Linked DNA regions of Xenopus tropicalis. The protein of the gene in region 2 purifies or fractionates together with the protein of the main gene of each other region. This does not show direct contact. Links are inferred from orthologs where the notes say so. Each region holds a gene or a part of one and is shown on either strand. Other genes may lie near its edges.

What was found. Proteins that work in one complex are often made in the same cells at the same time.
Region 1: the proteins of nfx1 (region 2) and larp1 purify together in Homo sapiens (affinity purification with mass spectrometry, with the first as the bait; 3 studies listed by BioGRID). This does not show direct contact. The link is inferred for Xenopus tropicalis from reciprocal best matches to the Homo sapiens genes NFX1 and LARP1.

Annotation. Positions count from the first base shown.
Region 1 is NC_030679.2:19,800,802-19,804,456, reverse strand, and holds part of larp1 (la-related protein 1), read right to left. Parts: coding exon 3,522-3,655; intron 3,256-3,521; coding exon 3,081-3,255; intron 2,907-3,080; coding exon 2,734-2,906; intron 1,944-2,733; coding exon 1,563-1,943; intron 1-1,562. UniProt on the Homo sapiens protein: RNA-binding protein that regulates the translation of specific target mRNA species downstream of the mTORC1 complex, in function of growth signals and nutrient availability.
Region 2 is NC_030682.2:76,153,493-76,157,247, forward strand, and holds the start of nfx1 (transcriptional repressor NF-X1), read right to left. Parts: upstream 2,733-3,755; 5' UTR 2,515-2,732; coding exon 2,493-2,514; intron 1-2,492. UniProt on the Homo sapiens protein: Binds to the X-box motif of MHC class II genes and represses their expression. May play an important role in regulating the duration of an inflammatory response by limiting the period in which MHC class II molecules are induced by interferon-gamma.

The DNA of each region.
Region 1 (3,655 bases), on a different chromosome or scaffold from region 2:
TCATTTTTTGGTGTTACTGTTCCTTTAAGCACACAATTCAACAAGCAGCTTCACTCACATTTTTGCAGAGCCCATTAAAAAGCCAAACAGTAGCAAAAAAAGAAAATCTTTCTTCATGTTTTTCTGTGAAAGTCCTTTTAAGGTGTTGGCAAGGTATGGGGAAAAGTAATTATAGGTATTTTCTAGTTGAAACCCAGTTCAACAGTAAGATGAAGCAGAGATTCCAAACATTTAGGGAGTTAGGAGTTCCAGTAGCTATCTTAGGATGCTGGTAGTCTTCAGATCAGAATACACATATTAAAGCCCACAGTGAAGCTCCTACCTGGAAAGACAGTGGCAAGGTAGACCCAATACAGCTCCTCCTGCTCTAGGTTCCTAGTGAAGGGTAAGTAGATCCAGGCCAGCAATGAAATAAAGGTGCACGCACACAGTACTTCAAATAGTTTGCTAAAGAGGGATTCTTCTGCTTTGTAGAACATAGTGATAACAGGACAGACATCCCTTGCAACTGGAAAACACCCCTCATGCCCCACCACTGCCCTCTTAGATGGTCCAGAAAACATCACACGAACAACTCCCAGTGCTGTGTTACCAGGAACAGGAAGGCAAGGCCCAGAAAAAGCTGGGCAACAAAGAGTGGAAGGGCTTAGCACATGTGAGAGCAGCTGACTGATTTCATGCTTACAAATTACAATAGCCCATCAGTACCCAAAAGAAGGAAACACACAGAATGGTAAACTGCAATTCAATGCTTTTTGCTTCCTCTCCGCTTCCAGTCACATGGCATTTGCTTTGAGGACATTTACAGAGGCAAGCTGCTTTTGACAAAACACCAGTTGTCGCCTAGAAACCCCTATAGCTGGCATGTACAGCCTGCAGTCCTCAACCTGAATTTGAATACAATCAGTATCACACGTGAAGAGGTTTCCTCTGTCAAAAAATTGTCCAAAAAGAGGTATCACTTATGTGTCTATTATTCTGCTCTCACCGGAAGCTGTACAACAAACTCTCACATGAACCGCAACATGACACTGGAATCCCAAATGTTCCAGCACAACCCCAATATAACTGCTGCTCCTGTTATATAATCCTCACCCCTATGGCAGGTATACAAAACCAAATCATACACAAATTTAAGAAGGCAGAGTTTTCATTATCTTTTCTGAAGGTCACTTTTATACAAGTAACCCAAAAGTAAAAAAAAAAAAACAAAAACACAAAGCGAGAACTTTTTTTCTGAATTAGGATTCCTGCCCAGAAACAAAAATGATGATGGACACTCAAGCAACACAAGTCAGCTCTTTTACACAGAGAAACCATCAGAAAAGCAGAAAGTGGAGTTTTGGCCCCTCTTCACTACCTTATCTGCTGGTGCACCATATATTAACACATACAGTACATAAGCAGATAAAAGTTTTATACAGGCCCCACCATCCGCCGATGTACACATACTGATTCATATGAAATAATTTTTTTGGTACGAGTACAGCCATCTTAAGACCTCAACAGAAGGAAATAAGGTTTAGTTCAGATGTGGAAAACACTGCTTATGCTTAACTCACCTTAATCTGAGAGTATTCTGGCTCAAACTGTTCAGTCCACAGGTCCTGCTCGTAATAGAACAGACCATCGTTAATAACTTTGGCAAACTCTGAGCTCATCTTTGCACGGGAGGTGTGGTTGCCGGTGCGGTCACCTCCAGGGTGCTTACGTAGTGAAGGCGGTGTCTGTGTCACAATAAGAATCTTGTTCACATCTCGATCATCGATCTCATAGTCAGAGTCCTCGTCTGACCAGTCAGTAAAAGTATTCTTCCGCCCGTCCATTTGCTCCATTTCCTCATCAAACATAAAGTCCAATTCCTCTGGCTCATCTTGATCTTTGGGTGGCTTTTGTGGAGTCACCTGCAAGGGTGTAACCACCTGTGGCGACTTAACCTCATCCTGTTTGTGTTAATTAAATGTAAATAAAAGTAAATATAATGGTTTTAAACAAGCTTCCAGTTTAAACATACTATGGCACTGCAAAGGGGCAAAAATACTTGAACATTGAATTTATTATGGTCCTAAATCCCAAGGTTTATTCTGGGTGTGCAGCTTTGGTCTGCCTATTGTAATGCTACTTACTTGTTGCTCTCTAACCTAATGGGTCATAACATCTAGTATATTATTTCCAGCTGCAAACTGGGAAAGGCAGTTCAATTCATGTATTAAGTGATTCCCTAGTACTTTACTTGTTATTTCTACACAAGAAATAAATAAATAAAAGGCATATCTATAAACTGCACAGTGGGTCCTTTCAAATGGAATGATGTAATTGCAGTGTACAGTAATATCATTCCATTTGTTGCGCTCATACTGTATTCTCGGACTCTATAGAGCAGGGATCCCCAATCAGTGGCTCAGGAGCAACATGTTGCTCCCCAACCCCTTGGATGTTGCTCCCAGTGGCCTCAAAGAAGGTGCTTATTTTTGAATTCCTGGTTAGGGGGCAAGTTTTGGTTGAATAGAAACCAAGTATAATGCCAAACAGAGCCTTCTGTAGGCTGCCAGTCCACATAGGGGCTATTAGGTAGCCAATTATAGCTCTTATTTGCACCCCCATGAACATTTTTCATGCTTGTGTTGCTTCCCAACACTTTGTCCATTTAAATGTGGCTCACGGGTATAAAAGGTTGGGGATCCCTGCTATAGAGGTTATGTTAGCAAGCCCCAAATCTTGACCTGGCATTACCTTGGTTCTTGCTGGGGAAGGTCGCGGCCTTTTCTTGACTTCTATCCAGTTATCAGAGTCCAGGTCAGGCAAACTGGCCGAAAGACCCTTTGGCATGGTCTTCAAGTTAGAGACCTCTTCGGATTTTGTCGTTCGGGCTGGGCTGGATGTTCGAGGAGAGCCAGGAGCAGATTCTTTATGCAAAAAGGGAAGAAAGGGAGTCTATGAGAGACGGCCTTCCTATAAGTCAAAACTTTCTTTATAATGGATCTTATGCCTGTACAACTATATAAATGTATGTGTACTGGGAAAGTTTCTTATAATTACATTTCTGTCATAAATACCTTTAACAACTGAAGGTCACTAACCTGTTTCCTTCTGGAATCCTTGCCTGGGGACGAATTCAGGACAGTTTATGAGTTGATTGAAGTCGGTCTGGGAAGCATCTGAAAGGGAGGGACCTGGAAGTGGCCACATATCTGGCTGATCTTTCCTGCGAATTTTCTCATCAATAATCTCTACCACTTTGCTATCCTTTAGTGCCTGCAGAACACAAAGGCATCATTTACACACACATTTATCTAAATATATCTATAAACATGCACACAATCAAAGAATGGGTACATTCATCTTATTTTATGACAAATACTGGTAACATATGGACATGCAGTTCTGCACAAGAAGCCTTCATCATCAACATATATGTGCTCATTAACATGAGCCACAGATGCTCTGAAGAGCAACAGTGGTACGGTCTGAGTATATATATTTTTTTTTATTTAAACAAAATTCAACACAGTTCACTTTACCTTGACTATCAGTTCAATATCTGTGGTAAGAGCCTGTACTCGATGGAAACTGGCAATCAAACCAACGGGCAAAAAACCTTCAGAATCCATCTTCCGGCGCAAAAAGAAGTCCCTCTGCAGGTTGTCCACACTAA
Region 2 (3,755 bases):
TTCCAGGAAATCATGTGGTGACCTCTGTAATTTCATGCAAATTTTTAATACCATCTGCATTTATCTGTTGGTGGCATAAGAATTACATTTTACACTGAAAGAAAATGACAGGTAAAAACATTATCCTTCATAAATCTAGAAGGCTTGGATTTTTGTTAAAAAAAAAAAAAAAAAGTCAGTACAGATATAAAGCTAGCTAGCAATTAAAAAAAAAAATGCGAGCACTAAACCTTTACATTGTAAATGTTTTTGTTCACTGCTATAATAATATTCAAGTCCAGCTACCAAAAAAAAAAAAAAACAGTGCTAATGCTATTACAGTTATATGGATATATGAAGTGGTACTAGTCTTAAAATAATCGCCAAAGCAAGTTTTGTCAAATTAGCATTAGAATACAGAATTGTTGGGTAATCTCCTTGGTTTGTGCCTTCCTCCAGTGCAGCCATAAATGTAATAGGGCACGATTATCCCAGAAAGATGTAGATGGATGCATGCATATTCAAATGACACTGAAGACTTGTACCATACTAGATGAGATTCCCTTTCATTATAGGAAGACACTAACCCCTGAGAGTTGGCGCTCACAAATCACTACTAGTGATTTGTGAGCGCCAACTCTCAGGGGTTAATATTGGAAGCACTTCACGGATTAGATAGAGGAAGGCAGCTCGGAGACACATAAATAAAAAATGTTTTTTTTGGTTTTTTTTCACAATTGAGAGGTTAAGTAGTGGGGTTTTTCACCCTTTTTTTTCTCACTGGTCTTTTAACAGTAGTAAATTCACTTTGACACTTTTAGAGCGTGGATAAGGTTTGCACATATTATGGGAAGACACCCCAGTGTTTAGTTAACATGAATATTCTTGGGGGAAAAAGACAAAATTCATGTCGTACACAGTTACATAGGGCTGAAAAAAGACCACAGTCCATCAAGTTCAACCCTTCCAAGTGCACCCGGCATACACAAACCTATACTGAGCTATCTATACACTCACATACATAAACCACATATACCAACATCAATACTAACTGTAGATTTTAGTATTACAATAGCCTTGGATATTACATGTGTTCAATAAATCATCCAAGCCCTCTGAAAGGCATTAATAGAATCTGCCATCACAACATCACTGCCCTTTCTATGAAAAAAACACTTAGAATGCTTCAAATGAAAGTTAAGTTTCTCTAGAGGGGTGGCCTCTTTGGTCTGATCGTTTTCATGGGAAAAAAAGATATATTCCTATAACCCCCCTATCTGCGTTATAAGCCTAAAAAGTAGTGTTGAGTCTTATACTGTTTTACAAAACGCTGTTTCAAAGAAACGCTCCTTAATAATTATGTCACTGGTATAAAGCTAGTCATATGAAGACGACTCCAGTGATCTAAACAAACTGATAATTGACTATTATAGCCACCTGAGTGTTTGGGCATTTCAGTCACCTAATAGTGTCTTGTTGGCCTGTCCAACTTCATCTGATCCAGACTGAGATAAAATAAAATGCCCGAAAAATAAGGGGCCTATTTATCGTTAGGTTTCGCTGTGTAAAAACAGTGTAATTTTTTTTACTCTGTTTATCTTCCGCCAGAACATGCGTAAAATAACGGTGTAAAATCTACCATGTGGTTTTTAACACAAGCAATGCCCACAGCAGAGTGTAACTGAGATGTTTTAATTTTACTACAAATTCAGTGTACTATATGTATGTAAGCATTTGGAGGATGTGGGTGGACTTTAGCTTCAGTTCACAGCTTCGACAGCAAGAATATGAATACAGGTGCATAGTAAATAAGTGTGTTTTCCCCCTACTACATTCACACATTGCTCCATGTGGGCCCATAAGCATGTCAATTGCCCAAAATTATTACAATTATCATTTTAAAATGGTGGAGAGTTGACATGATACTTACAACCATATAATTCTTATTCTAATTTCACCAAGTTTTAAATTGTCACTATGTTTGCAGTGGGTTGACATTTGTTAAAGAGGAATGTTCATGTCAGCTGTTCTGAAATGTGGCTCCCAGACAATGGCTTAAAAGCATGGCAGCAACTGTAGTTCAGCAACAGATAAAAGTGGGGAAAAAACACTTAAACAATCTGTAATGGAAAATCAAAGAGCCTTACAACCCAGTTAATGCTAAGGATTTTCCCTGCAGAAACCTAAATATGGATAACTTGCATTTGAAAGTTAACTTACGGTTATAAAATGTCAGATTACGCGCATGCAATTTGGCCTGTGTCACAACAAGCAATATCTGAAATACTCCTCTTGAAAATATAAAATATAATAATTCAGTTTTACTGTTAACAGCAACTCATTCACATTCAGACATTTAAAGCCTGTAAAAAAACTGAGACCCAAAAATGTCCTATATGTAATTAACTTTGAATCTAACTAGCTGTCATCCGGTAATGTTGAAAGCTGAAGCTCACCAACACCCAGGGAACCATAGGCTGGATATTTTGTAACATTTGGAATCTATTATTTACCTGAAGGCTGACCCTCAGCCATGTTGATAAGCTGAGGATTCCCTGTTGTATCTACCCAGGTTACTCAACAGCTCACGTGTATCCCAGGAGTTAAGCACCGAAGGCCAGCGGATGTTCCCCAGCACAGAAACACCGGTAAGGGCTAGAATGGAGAGGCTTAAAGGAGGTTGTGAAGTCACAAGTCATGTGACCAAGATGTGGGAGGGTGAGTGATGTCACAGGGGGAGTGTTTTCCTGCTATCTCTCTCTATCCCTGCCTACCAATGTCATAGCACCATGTGACATATTTGGGAAAGAAGGTTCTGGTGCCATGCTTGAAAAGGGAGGGGGAGTTTCAATGTATAGTTCTGCTCGTGCAAGGTAAAAGGGTTTGCAGAAAGCTGACGGGTAAGAGTAGTGAGATCTGCTGAGGAACTGTAGTTAGGAAAATTCTGAGATAAGTTGTGTGTGCGAGCGCTAAGCTTTTAGAGCTTCTGAAATCGTTCACTGTTCGCAGTTCATTATAAGTACCTGACGAGCAGGGATCTGTGTGTTCACACACATACTTTTCTCCGTGGCGAAATGCCATGCTAAACTAACGATATGATTCTGCTATAATGGTGCATGCAGTCTTTCTTTAATTACTACTATCGTGTTGCGCCCTGTTCCTAGCTACTGTGAGCCTGCACGCAGCGCCAAAGACTTCAAAGCCAGAACGAGAGAGAGCTGTTGGTTGGTGGAGAGGCGGAATTGCCAGGTTTATTTTTCCAAACCTGCCAAAATCAGTTCTAAAACCAGCCCAAAACTAGCCAAAAACCACTTTTAAAGTAGCCCAAAAATAGCCTAATATGTGAAAAAAATTCTAAAAAAATGAAAGCATATATGGGAAAACATGCCTTTTTAAAGTGTATAATAACTACTCATGCCCTGTTCCTCCCCCTCTCAAGTTACTTGCATGGCTGATAATTCCCTGCTCTCTGTGTCCAGCTGGGAAGTCACTACAGAAATAGATTCCAAATGTTGCATTAACCCCAGACTTGATATACATATGGGTGCGTTGAACTACAACTCTCAGAAGCCCCAAGATATCCTGAGAGTTATAGCTTAAGGATCAACTGCAGAACTGCCCCCACATCACAGTACAAAGTGATACTACAATCACATACCCTATAGCACAGGGAGTAAGGTTGTAGGGCAGACAGGTTGAGTCTGAAAGAGCAAAAAAGAATACAAAACGGAGCCTCTTTCTATACTGTCCAATTGCATGTTGGGTATTGTAGTTTT